Linked DNA regions of Mytilus edulis. The protein of the gene in region 1 interacts with the protein of each later gene in a pairwise test. Links are inferred from orthologs where the notes say so. Each region holds a gene or a part of one and is shown on either strand. Other genes may lie near its edges.

Region 1 (7,292 bases):
TCATTTGTTGTTTCATAATGGAAATTGTGTACTTCTTTCCCCCTCTCAGCTCTCCATCTGTTGTCAAGGTTTCAAGAGTGGTAGCAGGGGAGATAATTTCTGGCTTATTACCGGAATGTGTAATGAGGGCAGAAACCAATGGCTTTTAGAGGTGTTCATCTGTTGTAAATATGTTATGCAGTCAGACATATTAAAAATAGCATTTACATCACTTGAGGAACATAATATCTATTACCCATGCCAATTCCTAGTGTAATAGCCAAAAAATGTCCACATATCTAATCTACAGAATACACACAGCATGAACTTCAAATAAAATCTGCAGGGACAAAACAGGGAACTAGATGTGACTTTAGAAAGTAACTGATGCTGATGTCAAAGTCTATTAATTTTTCATTAAATTTCTTTTTAAGATAAATGCTGTTTAAAATTTCTAGTTTATATATTTTATAAGTTAATTGTTCAGTTGAATTTTCTTAAAAGGAAATTGTGCACACTTAAAAAATACTTGTTTTAGTAGATTTATAATTTTCCTTTTCTTTATTGAATATCTTGCTACAATCTGATTTAAGATCCAGAAGTAAAATTACAACAAATCCCTTGATAAATCATCAAAATTACATAATAGCGAACTTCCCTATCAAAGTTTGTTAAATTTTTTAGCCTGGGTTAAAAACCTAGTTACGCCACTGACATGTTATCTAACAGTGACCAATCAATGCACAATGCAACTGTACACTGGTGTAGAGGTCCACTCAGGGAGAGACATAAAATCAAATTTCATACTTTGTAAAAAAAATTATTTCAAAAGCATCAAAATTCAATTGTGATAAAAATAAAGCATTAAGTGTTTGTCCAACATTGATTTTTAAAACTGGGTGTTAAATGTTATGAAAAAATACATTATTCAACAGTCTATTGCACATTGTGCATTCAAAATGCAATTTAAACACCTATTATTGTTAAAAAATCAAATTTTAAAAGGCTGTAAAAAGTAATTTATCTAATATGAAAATAATAAAATATGATCGATGGTTAGTTAGAGGCCTTTGAGAACAGGGTAGCAAAAAATGTTGCTAGACATTTAAGCCTCAGACAAGGTCAAAATGTCTTATCTAAAATTACACAATAAACATGCCCTGACTTTCAAATATATACACCAGTTCTATAACACCTATATTTATGGACACTATGACTCATATCTTTTTTTTGCTGCCCACTCTCATATATTACACAATCCAGTGACCATATACAATAATACTTCACTAATGTATGCAAACATTTAATGCATATAACACTAGACATACATATAAAAACACCATGGGAAAATATAATATACATTGAAATTGGTGAAGATTATTAAAATGAAACAGTTTATCTTAACCTCTAAATTAACATACATGTGCGCATACTGCTAAATTTCTTCCAGATAAAAAGTTCCCAAAACTATTTTTTGAAATTTTTAGTAGGAAATGGAAATAAGTATTCTTATTTTTCTTTCAAATAAAATCATCTATTTGATAAAGTTCATTCAAATAAAAAAAAAAAAGGAAAAAATAAAATGAGAGAGAGAGGGAGAAACATTTATCAGAAAAAAATTTAAAAGATTTAAAATAAAAACTAACTAAAAGTACACCTCTGATGACAATACAATACTCACTATATATTCTTCCAATATAAATTAATTTCTATTTTTACTATTTCCATTCATGTATTAAAAATCAATGAAGTTTGTTAATCCAAAAATACTGGGTTATAAAGAACTGAATGTAGAAAGATGACACAAATACTGTCACCAAAATGAAACATTCTATACTTTAAACAGGTGCTTGAAATTAATGTAGATATAAAAACCAATCAGTCTTTTTGTTTAATAGTTGATGAAAAGAGATGTCGAAATTGAAAAGAAAAGAATGTGTATTGTCGCGTCACATGTGTATTACAACATAACTGAATACACAACTAATACGTAACCTTGTCCCCGTTGGTCAACACACATATTTGACATGGTCCACGGTGACCATTTTATATTTAAATAAAAAAATAGAAAATAAAAGAAAGACAATATAAAAAAAATGACAACTTACGAGAATCTAGGGTCCGTCTTTGTGGTGGCCGCCCCTGTTTTCTCCTGGACATGTTGTTATGCTCATTAAAACCAACTCTCCACTGCCTTTTCTACATCTGGACAAAGAATATCAACAAAGATGGCGGATTTTCATGTAATGTGTCTTCTTCACCTGTCTTCTTACTTATCTTCCATTCCAAAGTTTACATCATCAGGACAAGTCCTTTGGGGTCACTTCAGGTCACTTATGCCACTGACCGCTACAACGTAATGAACACTGACCACGATCAGGAAATACCCTCTCGACGAATGAAAGCAACTGTTTATCGTGGAGACCTTTTGTAGTGGACGTAAATATCCTATTTCTTACGTGAACTTAAATAGATCTACGATATAATAATGTATTTTGTGTATTGTTCTAGTTTCAGTTTATAGAAATCAACATCAAGCACATGTCACTTTCATCGCCATCATTTAGTCCAGTTGAGTTGCTGCGGCCGTTCTCATCCCGGTAAAGTCACTGACTCCTGACCAAACATATATATATGTATGATTTCAGTCATTAATCAATATAAAATAACATATTGGGTTTTTGAAAAGTAAAATTTTGTCGTCAAAACGCCTTGTAATCGTGCGGTCAACTGATGCGTGGTGGCCCGTAATGTTACAAGCAAATGACCCCGCCGACCGGCACAGTCTATTACATCAAAAGGGGTAAGAGGTTTGCGCAATATTACGTGATTTTACATCTGCAAGTGTGACCATCATTTCCGCATGTGTATTCACCAATAATTTCTGCATTCCGTTTGCATTTACAGAAACTGCTGGCACTTGCTAACTGATTGAATTGACACACATATATACTATAAATAAATAAAACACCTTGAAGTTGTCTGTTTTTGATTGTAACGGTCACTTACTTTCTGGTCAATGTCCGATATGATAAGTTTTTAATGACAGTTTTGTCCAATGGTTGTGTATCAGTTGATCAAAGTGATAAGAGAATCTAACAAAGAAAAACATATCATAAATTATTTATAGATATTGATTCAGTGGACAGTTGCTTTTTAATATTTTCTTCATTATTATATGTTATTGAATAATGTTATGTTTAAAGGGAAATAAACGCTATTATACAATCTTACCCAATCCAAGTTTTTTTCTTCTGCAATACATATTCCTTATCGTCGACACCTTGTAGCTTGTAGTTCATTTCAGGTGAACAGCTGACCTTAAATAACCGTTGTCCAGACGTCTATTAAATACCATGTTATCGATCAAGACTGACCACAACTGACCAAAGGTCAACTCGGGTGATAGCCAGTGGTCATTAACGGAAATGTTTGTGTATTCAACAGGTGGACACGATTATCTCTACGGAAATAAAGAAAACATTTGAAGTGAATAACGGATGACTAAAAGCAACAGTATTATTATAAGTAATATTAATAAATTATATTCAATATTTATTTTAGTTACTAAGATAAAATAATATAAAAATATTAAAAGTTTGATTAACACGTAAATAAAAATAGACTGGTAATTTATATAGTACGCTTTCTATGAAATTTTTCTGATGCCAAGGAGTGATTTAAAGAAAGTATTGGTAAATTAAAAAAAAAAAAAAAAAAAAAAGGAATAAAAAAAATTAAAAAAAAAGAAAATAGAATAGTAATATTTATTGCACGCACTCTATGATGTTTTTCTTACTTATTTTAAGGATTCGAATTAAAGTAAAAAAATACATCGAAAAAAAATAAAAAAAAGAACCAAAATCAAAAGAACAAATATTAGATATACCCCGTTGGATCATCATGTCTTAAATCAGCTTATTTTTTTTTTGTGTTTTCTGATTCATGAAGATGTGTGATTTTTGTTGCACATGCAGTCTTTGTATGTTAAAGATATTAACAGGTTTCTAGGCTCGGAGCGAGAGATTCACAATACTCCGTACGCACTGAAATCCGTTTGCGCCAAAAATGCGTCATTTTGCTCTAGAACTTTTTTCTCCAATACTACGTTTGCTCAAGGACGTATAACTTTAAAATTACATAGTATCATTTTATTTAAAGCTTGAATTTTGTAACTCATTTTACACACAAAATTACTGTGGCTGAGGTCTCCTGCATATATATCTCATACTTTTGAACGGCAAATGTTTTCTTTTCTGAACGGGTACTTTGTTATATTGGTATGTTTTACGGTAGATGGGATTTTAGCTCTTACGTCATGGAGGGTCCAAAGCATTATCATCAAATACAATAGTGTATGGAAAAATGCGTACAGGTTAATTGGCACAAATTGATGAGTTCCGAATATTGGCGCAATAGATACATTTGTGAAAGATTAATTTCTAGCGCAAAGGATACCTTTGAAAAACAGTAATTGGCGCAAAAGAACTCCTGCCGTATACGCAGTTGTAAAATACTGTATATTGGCACAAACTAATGATTTCCGAATATTGGCGCAATTGATACATTTGAAAGAAAAAAAATAGCGCAAATGATACCCTTGAAATACAGTTATTGGCGCAAAAGGACTCCTGCAGTACATGCAGTTGTAAGGTACTGTATATCAACCCTGAGTGATTTTTAGGATACTGATATCGAGGCAAACCTCTGTATCTATACATATAATATATATTCGAAACCGCAAGGATTCTCATTTTTCATTTCTCTTAATCCCTTAAAGGATTTGATTTTCATGGATGTGGTTAATTGTAATAATGTCATACAAGTCTTGAAAAAAATGAGTTAAGCTAAACAAGGCTTAGTATAATGAGACGGTACCGATTCCTCATGAGAATAAGTAATACGCAGCTTTAAATTCGATCTTGACGTAACCATGTTGAATATACAAATAATTCTAAGTAATATACTTCATGGACCTTGCGACATTATCCATGTATTTATAGAGTGAAAGTATGTTATTCAGTGCTTAACTTGATGTTGGTGATTATTTTGATAAATTGATACAAGTTTTAATTTTTTTCTGTAAAATAAAAAAAATAATATGTGGTATCCTTCCATGACAGAAAATCCATGAGTTCATGTATAGACACAAACACCGAAAATGCAAAGGAACAGCGCTTTTGTTGCCGTTTTCTTCTCAAATTCACAGTGAGGACTTTAAAACTCTCACCTTACTGCAAATTATGACTGACCCAAGAACCAATTTGAGCGGAATTTTTGCAAAAATAATTTGGAAAGACTTTGTAATATGTAACACCACAAAGTCGGGCAAAATATGGTTCTGTAAGCGTTAATTCAAGCTTGTGAACGGTAAAGGAACCAGCGAAACGCCCGACGTTTGTTGGTAAGCCATGGATCGAACGACGCCTGGTACGTGTTTGGGCAGTATAGTACACTGATGCAATAGTTGGAGCGGGAATCTGCCAGTGATTTCGTTGAATTCATACAGATGATGCCTTGCCGCGATGATGTTTCAACAGCTTTCTCTGAGAGTCGCATCACAGTGGCACAACAGTCGAACGACAGTGGCACGACAGTGACGCGCATCCCATGACATGAAAACCTGAAAAATAGCCCAAACAACTCACGATTGTCGTACGATTATCGCACGACTGTCACACGACCGACTTGCGACACACGCACGACAGTACAATTACAATTTCTTTTTAAAATATCCAGCTTTATTACAAAAAGACTAGATTTTGGTTAAGCTTACTCTTTTTATTTATTTTTTAAAGAATACTACAAAATTGCAAATTCAACCTATCATTTTTTTTTAAAAGTCTTGAGTCATCTTTCCCGGGCATTCATATAATTAGGCTACAAGTTTAGAAAAACGAAATAGTGTTGAAACAAACTAATGTAAGGCTGTGATACTGCACAGTTAAGTATACGGGTTTAAGAACGTTTTTCGAAAACACCATTATAATTTGAAATGGACGAAGATAAATATATAGATGTTTAATATAGACTCTCTTCCGGTAGCGGGATTTTCTCGCTGCGTTGTAGATCGACTGTTTTCGGCTCTTTGGTCGGGTTGTTGTTTCTTTGACATGTTCCCAATTTCCATTCTCAATTTTATCTTTCTGATAGGTTGATGCTGCAAAACGCGACCGAAAAGGCGAGGGATAGGCGTCGCTTTCCGATCTCGAAGATGAAACTTGACAGATTATATTTCTGCTATCCACCACTTTACAGATCAATATTTTTTTATAGGCCAGTGTATATGCAGTATAGAGGAGAAAACACGAGTATAGTATGAACCCATTTAAAGTATAACATAACTACAAAATGTATATTTCAAAAGGCAGGGGGGTCATTCCCATAATTTTCATTTTTATAAATATGGATAAGATATTGTACAATTTCTGTCTTTTGATGAGGTAAATGTGTGGTTTTATTGATTTAAAAAAAAAAATGATATTCACTTAGGCCTAAGGCCGATATGAATGTCACTAGGTTTTTCAAAAGTCAAATAAACCACATATTTACCGAAACAAAAGACAGTAGTTGTTTTGTTCCATGTTCAAAAAGAGACGAATTATTTATAAAGCAACAGTTATTTAAACAAAACCAACTAAACGTCAAACAGTGTATCGTTATTATGTACACGTAAAAGCACGCGACGTTTTGTGCGGTGAATATACTTTATTCAAAATCCCTATCATTTTAAAACAAGAGGCTGTCACAACGACAGCAAACCGGATTTATTAATATTTATTTGTGTCCTGGCAATATCACAAGAACCATTACTGATGAATGGTGAAAGTGAAAATCGTCAATATCAAATTTGACCTCCATTTTGTCATCAGTATCAACATATTAAAATTTGAAAAGCTTAGATTGAATGGTTCATGAGTAAATGCAACAACGTGAATGGAAACGCCATTTTACAATCTTTCAAGAACCATAACGCCTGAACGGTAAAAGTCAAAATCATCATTATTGAACTTGACCTCTATTTTATCATCAGTAACAACATATAAAAATGCCAAAAGCTTTGGTTGAATGATTCATGAGAAAATGCACGGACACGACTGGAAACACCATTTTTCAATCTTTCAAGAACCATAACTCCTGAACGGTAAAAGTCAAAATCGTCATTATTTAACTTGACCTCTATTTTGTCATCAGTAACAACATATTAAAATTTGGGAAGCTTTGGTAGAACAGTTCATGCGTAAATGCACGGACACAACTGGAAACTCCATTTTTCAATCTTTCAAGAACCATAACTCCTGAACGGTAAAAGT
Region 2 (7,975 bases), on another chromosome or scaffold:
AATACGACCTTCTTAAATCTTGTGATGGATCAAGGACTTCTTATTGTTTCTAGTCTAATATTCAAGTACATTTCCCATCAGTTTGTTGATCTATTTCGTTTTAATATTTGACATAACCAGAAGATATTTTTGTAATTGATGCCAAATATTCTACTTTCACATAGATTATTTAGACATCAACCCCCGTCAGCATTTGTGCAAATATGAGAAAAACAGAGGCAAATACAAGAAAAACAAAAGTCACCTGGCTTATCAAACGATGGAATAGCCAGAGGCAAAATCTGTGTTTTGATTGGTTAATTTCAATTTAATCCTAAACGTGATGATGGTAATCACATTAAAATGACACCACTGTTGGTTTATTGTTAATTTATATCCACGATAACTACATTTGCCAAAATATGTTTGTCCAAGAATTGAATCGTTGTTTTGATTAAATCATGACTGTAATGATGCAATTAATTTGCTGTCGATTTATCAAATCAAACGATTACAAGCTCCATGTCGTATAGCTCAGCGTAGTTTTCATTTGGATATAGGGTTTATATTAAGCATCGAACAAAAGCAATTTAATTTTCATTCAAAAACAGCTTCTTACAATCTGATTTATTACACCCAACATGGAATTATTATATAACACCTCCATGATCCATGTAAATCTACTAAAGCTTTTTTCAAACACAAGTTAATCGTGCATGGTGTCATTGCTGCGCGTGCTCCCTGAAAAAGCAACCACAGCGGACCAGCATTCAATTAAATGCAAGTGAAAATGTCTTTGATCATAATTTTTATATTTTGTGCGTTTTAGTCCTGTACGAATTGGCTATCGATGGCAGTTTGAGTTTTAAGTTACCGTGATTTTGTAAAAAAAAAAAAATTAAAAAAATATGAATTGTCACGTTCACCATTTCGACCCTCTTTAGTTGCCTCTAAGTTTGAGTTGGAATCGTTTTGATTAATCTTTTAGTTTTCTTTAAAATGGTTCACAACTATTCGTTTATTCTCTTAACCAACTGGTCAGTGTTTGGCGAGTGTAGCAGTTAAAAAATAATGCTGAAATTTTCCCAGCCACACTTTGATCTGAACAAAGAAAACATGTTTGTTATTTGGTTAACCATCCACTAGGGAAAAGCTTAATTTATACATGTAGCAGCCAAATTATTGAATTTGCATTTCTCGATTGCAAATGAATACAAAAATAAGGTTCTTGAATTTCCATAATAGAGTATATAATCATCAAAAAATAGAAGAGTCTTTTTCAGTGAAGACATGTACAATGCGTCAGAACAAACATATTAACTCATCATAGATACAAGGAGTAAAATTTTACTGGTTTATGAAATATAATGAAAACATTTTAATGTTGATTCTTAATAGATTACATGCTGTATGGCACAGAAAGAACTAAAAAGACATGTTGCATCAATTCGAGACTGTTGTACTTTCCAGCCAACATGGTTATCTATATCATAAGTAGCCTATTGAGTTAAGCCACTAAATTGTGTCTTTCTATGTTGTGTTGTTGGACTATTGTTTCAGGATTGGGTGAAACTTGGTGCCTATTTGAACGTTTAAACCTGCTGCAATTTTATTTTGCACCTATCCTAGGTCAAGAACCTGGTGTTCAGTAGTTGTTTGTTGATCTGGTTCATAAGAGTTTATCGTTTTTTATATGGATAAGAACTTTGGTTTTCCTGTTTGAATGGTTTTACACTAATAATTTTTTGGCCCTTTATAGCTTGCTGGACGGTGTGAGCTAAGGCTCCTTGTTGTGGCCGCACTTTGACCTTTGATGGTTTACTTTTTCCAATTGTGAATTGTCTTATTGGCACTCATACCACATCTTCTGATATCTATTATGAGTATGAAATGAAATTATTACTTATTGTATTTATCTTGTGTGTAGTTTTGTTTTAGGAAAAAGACAATACCTGTACGCATTATGATTTTTAATACATTGGTTTTCTATTTTCGAATCATTTTTCACCTTGTTAGACATTTACAAAGAAACTGCTGTCCATGAAATCCTATATCTTTTGCATACATGGCCTAATTTCCGAAACCAACAAGTACATGCATAGCTCAACATTTCATGCAATTGAGAAAAAAAAATGTGATAGAAGTTATTTCAGATATTTCAAAATATGTCTTGTATTTTGTAGAAATATAAATGGTTTAAGAAACAACAAAGATTAAACTGAATCACAGTAAATCTACTTGAAAATAATATTCCAAAATCTAACAAAACTTAGCTCTTGAAACAATTTAAATCTACATTAAAGGTTTTGGTCGGTGAAGCTCCTTGGGAATCTTTCCTATATCTTGTCCTATATGTAACACCTGTGAAAAAGACATCAATGCTATTATTTGCTAAATAACAAAAGAAACAAACATTATCATATCTAATTGAAAGTTTTAACAATATAACTTGTATAGACGTATACCAATTACCTGCAAGTTGTCTTCTAACTAAGTTGATGAAGTGGGATTATAAAACACAAATGGGATGTCTACGTTACATATATATAATACTTTCTATTATTACTATTGTGTATTGAAAAGACGGATCAACTGGTTAAGACTGAGACAAGTGGCTAACGTATTTTCAGACGATGCGACATCATTCCTATAGTCATTTTGTTTAAAACTTACAGATGGTTTAATCTATTTCTAATTGCCACTAAACGGCAGACATTGTCAAATGTGATTATTTTTAATCTGATACAAATTGCCAGTCAGTCGTTTAAGATAATCAAGGTTAGAATCTTATAACAAAATTAGTTCTTCAACTGTAAAGACACCAATTGTTTTCATCACTAATTTGTCTGGAAACACATGACGTTGCTTAAAAGATTTATCTCAAGAACTGTGAATATAGAAATAAGATTTACATAGTTTAATTGACAATGAGACAACTTTCCACTAGAAATTAAAGGATGTAAAAATAAGCAACCATATAAAGGTCACCGTACCGCCGTCAACAATGAGCAAAACACATACCCCATATATAGCTAGATATAGAAGACCTCAAAATAACAAATGAAACAATTGTACAATTTTTTTATTTACCTCATCCTTCATTGTGATTGAATGCGGGGAGATTGTTTCACCCATCTTGTGTTTGTGTACATGTCCCAATCCAGGAACATCGCCCGTGGTAATGTAGGTTGTCTTTTGTGCGATATCTTAATGTATTGTAATTTTTGTGAACTTGGACAAAACGACAGATCTTCGATTGTCTCTTCAAAGTCATTCCCAACTCTAAAAGCTTTACATATTGAATATATAGAAACAAGACCACGAGCCAAAGCTCCGTGTTGAAGACCGTACTTTGATTTATACTGGTTTACTTTTATAAATTGTAACTTTGATGGAGAATTGTCTCATTGGCATTCATACCACATTTTCTTATATCTTTACTAAGTTGATACTAATGCAATACTTTCTTTTATATATACACAATGAGATGTGCTTAGATTGCCCGAGAGCCAACTTTCCAACAGAAACAAAGGGACAAGGATGAATACAACTATATTTATAGGTAACCGGGGGGCCTTCAGCAATAAGCAAATCCCGCATCGTGTACAACTCTTTAAAATGATACGGAATGACAAAATGTGAAATAATTTAAAAGAGAAAGCAATCGACCGAATTTGTACTAAAACACCATAAATGTAACATAACTACACTTTACAAAAAACCATCACAGGTACATGACCCGATGGACGAGGCCTCACATACATGTTCATTGATGCTGAAGCTATGTATATTGAATATCCTTGACGTATAACACAAATGAAAATCAGAAAAATCTGCAAGGGTTCTAGTTTGAAGACACCCCTACAATAGTCTAGAATAACGCCTTTTGTATCGGCTCGCGACATTTGTAGCATGCAAGACTATATGTAAAATTGTATTGATATTCTGTTGCTCTGAAATGCTGTATAATTAATTTAAAAGAGTAAAAAAGGAATTAAATGATTTAAAAAAATATCTTAGTGATGGGTTTGTGCATCATCGCGTCGATGCAGGTTAAATTTTGCATAAAAACCCCATGTTTTTCCGAGTAGATAAATTTCATTTAATAGATAGATTTTAATCCTACAAGTTACAGCGGTTTACCTTTACAGCTATGTAAGTAAAACAGAGAAATTAAATTTATAACAATCAATAGTAACTGCATTTAAATTATTTTAAGGGTGGTGGAATTTATCTATCTTCTTCAAGACCATAACAAAATGATCATACTCATATTTTGCTTTTTTGAATTTGCGCAAATTTTATAAATCTAAATTCAAATTTAAATTTCAGTAAAAATAGAAAATAACATTGATTCATTGTTGGTTGTTTAACGTCCAGTGACAATTATTAGGAAATAACAATTAAATCTATAAATAATAATATTATATGAATCAATTAAACGATAAATACTATTTTCCATTCTCAATGTTGTTAAAAACATATGATGCAACGTAATAATAATTATATAAATATAAAATTTATAACAGTGTTTATTAATTGTTCTTACGATTTTCCAGATATAAAGTCTAGTACAATGAATCTAATTTTATCCTATTAAAAAAAAACATTTTTCTACATCTGTATTTGTAAAATACCCGATTATAAAGCATAAAAGTGAAAGGATATTTAATTTAAATCTCTGAACTGATACAGCTTTACCCTTATCAATATTTAGTTAAGGTAACAGGAGGGTAGATCATCTACAATATATTGTATTCTATTGACAAATCAAATGCAAACAAATTTTCACCTGTCCTTAAAACGACTCGTTACAATGCCTCTAATACGCAACACCTTTGTTGTAAAACAGCCAATCGCTCGTCGATTTGACTCGGGTATTCAAAAGGAATAATAAAACGGGTAGTCAATCAAATAGCATTTTAAAAAGTGTGAATAACAAAAACGTTTGGTCATTTTATAAAGTTAGTCAAGGGACTTCGGACATTTAAATCCACTTTCTATGGACTTATAACAAGTGATAAAGTTTAATATTTGGTTTCATCAACAGACTTAAAGCTGACAGCATCCATGATGAATAAACCTGCAGGAACTTCTAGTAAGTAGAAGTAAAGTACATAGGTAGTCATATAAAACAAAACGTTTCGTACTTACTAATTGCTTTTATTAACTTTAAAGGTAATGATTTCAACAGATCTATGATGACAACTTTGGGTGGTTTTTTTTCTTTTGATAAACAGGAACATATACAATGTTTTATTCTTCATGAATCTTAACTGAAAAAAAATTAGTCTGAAGAGTAAGTCTTTTTTAAAATAAAAACAAAAATACAATTTAAATGCAAAAAATTGCTCTCTGGCAAAAAATAAAAAACTTAAAAAAAACAAGGAATAAAAGCAATGTCACTAGCTCTATATTTACTAAGAGCTCTAATATTTACTAATAATTTATACAAATACATAAAAATACTGATACGGAAAATAGTCAAATACAGTTTTATCTGAGTTGATAATTTGATGCCGCTTTTGACTCTTCTGGAGTGTTGTCTCATTGGCAATCACACTACATCTTCTTATTCTTATATATAAGAACAATACATATTTTAGGTGGAAGTAAACCGTTAAAATCAGAACATTTTATCAATATAACAGCAATAAGTTGTCAATCTGCAATTCTATCTTTTATCCACAATATTAACATGTATGTAACAGCACATATTAACTTTTGAAACTTAGTTCAATTACTATCTGTAAGAAATATTAAAGAATTAAATAATCTGGGTAAATACCTGTATGAGGCAGAGAAAATCCGTAACACTTAATTTTTTTGTTAAATGTACTTTTATTACCAATGTAAATTGTATGCCAAACTCCGCTATATATTAATGCTGTATATGTCTATGTAAACTGTATAATTTGTGTATCTGTTTAATTCTATGAGCTGTATATTTGCTTACGGAATAAAGAATTATTATTTAGGGAGTTTGAAAGATGTGTCAATTAATTTTATTTTGAATTGCAATTAGATTATATTGAACAGTAATATTTTATATAAAAAAAACATTTCTTGCCTATTAATAAGAAGAACATTTTTGGATTTATACCTGCAATAAATATCTTTACCATTTTTTTAATTTTAAATAAAGCATATTGTATTGTACTGCGTTTATATTATGCTTTTTAATTGTGATTTCATGATTTTGTGCAAGCTTATCTGATGCTCTTATGTTAAACATAGTAGTACAATGTATATATATTAAAGTAAATGAATCTTTATCACTTTGTAACTGATTGAAATTAAGTTATATGTTGCTTTTTTATGACTGATAGACTAGTAGTTCAAAGATAGAAAACGACGTTTTTGCGTATATATATTTTCGTTTTTGCTCTCCTTTTTTGGGGATAAATTTCCTTTAAAATTTCTTTCTCGTCCAGTTTTCTGCTTATTAAGTATACTTTTTGGATCCTAGATGCTATGTCAACAAATGTGTATTTGAATACGTAAGCCTTTATCTAATTATTGTCTACTTAACATCTTAGTATATCCAGGGGCATGTCCATTTCGTACGAAAAAGCAAAGTTTGCCAGAACCATTTAACAAAACATGCAAACTTAACTTTTCAACATGAAGGGAGTCCTTTCATCTGGAAAGTGTTTACCTCACATTAAAATAGGATAATAGAATCCAGAGACATATACGTAGACATCGACTCCGGAAAGTCAGTTCAACTACAAAAGAAATTAAAGGAAGTCCAAAGGAAATTAACAAGATAATTGAAATAACAAATTGTACTTAATTATCTTTGCACGCGAGCACATTATTTGCAGACGATAAAGTTTACTGCTTCTTTAAGTCGTCATAGACACCACTAGAGGATTTAGAAGGCTTTTTTCTAAATTTTGTTTGCATCATAACGACCAAATTATAATCAAATGATTGGACAAAATGTATATATTTTGTAACATCAAAGGTGTAGAGATTGCACCATAAGAGTACACAAATCAAAAGCACTTTGATCATTTAAAGCCATTTCTTATTATTTAAAGTAAGTAAAAATGTGCTTTTAGTACAATTAAAAAAAATCAAAAAAATCTGTTAATTCGGTGCAGTACAAAAGATAGGGGAAAAAGAAGAAAAAAGCAATGGTCTAATTATTCTATACATATATAATTTTAATCTGTGTATTAATTATGTAGCATACATATAGTATTTCTGTGATTTAGTTTTTTTTTTTAAATCTAATTTTTGTAGTACAATTTATAAAATGTATTTTTTTTGGTAAAGTCTTAAAAAAATAAATGACAATTTTCTGCACTTGAGCTATCATTTAAAGGCAATTGTCATTGAATAAGCCTCTACGACACGTTGAGTAATATTTGTACTTGAATTTTTATTTGAATCGAGTTGAAAATTAAATATTTTTGTAGACTGGCAAAAGAGGATCATAGGTGTTAAATAATTTTGCCTTTTTGACTGTGGATTGGTGTAAATCTATTATTTTGAAAAACAGATATTAATTTGTTACATTGCAATCGTGTCCTAACTAAGCGGCTTTGAATCTACTGTACATTAAAAGAGTCAACCCTTATATCCCCTTTGAAAGAACTGTCGTAATACACTAAAAATTTACACCAATATAAATGACCAATTTGTGGATTTGACACGTTCTACGTTAATCAAATTGTCGACTTTTAACAAATTGTTTCAAATAACGTGACAATGGTGAATACATTGGATAACATACAAAAAACATGTGTTTAATTCGGGAATTTTAAATGAAATAAATTCCTCAAAAGATAAAATAATTGTAACACCTGCCTGAAAAAGTAAAAATTACTTCAATGTCATAAAGATGATTCTTCTGAAATACATTGGAAAGTAAATGTCAAATATTTGAAGATGGTTGCAATATAACGTTGACATTGTCATTAAACGATTACTTAATAAATGACTGTGTCTAAATTGAAATTTTCGTCTTTGTTATTATGCTACACAA

What was found.
Region 2: the proteins of B-cell lymphoma/leukemia 11A-like (region 1) and nuclear receptor subfamily 2 group E member 1-like interact in a two-hybrid assay, tested with the Homo sapiens proteins (2 studies listed by BioGRID). The link is inferred for Mytilus edulis from reciprocal best matches to the Homo sapiens genes BCL11A and NR2E1.

The regions. Positions count from the first base shown.
Region 1 is NC_092346.1:7,240,087-7,247,378, forward strand, and holds the start of B-cell lymphoma/leukemia 11A-like, read right to left. Parts: upstream 3,070-7,292; 5' UTR 2,140-3,069; coding exon 2,088-2,139; intron 1-2,087. UniProt on the Homo sapiens protein: Transcription factor. Associated with the BAF SWI/SNF chromatin remodeling complex. Binds to the 5'-TGACCA-3' sequence motif in regulatory regions of target genes, including a distal promoter of the HBG1 hemoglobin subunit gamma-1 gene.
Region 2 is NC_092353.1:25,811,599-25,819,573, reverse strand, and holds the start of nuclear receptor subfamily 2 group E member 1-like, read left to right. Parts: upstream 1-4,908; 5' UTR 4,909-5,049; coding exon 5,050-5,077; intron 5,078-7,975. UniProt on the Homo sapiens protein: Orphan receptor that binds DNA as a monomer to hormone response elements (HRE) containing an extended core motif half-site sequence 5'-AAGGTCA-3' in which the 5' flanking nucleotides participate in determining receptor specificity.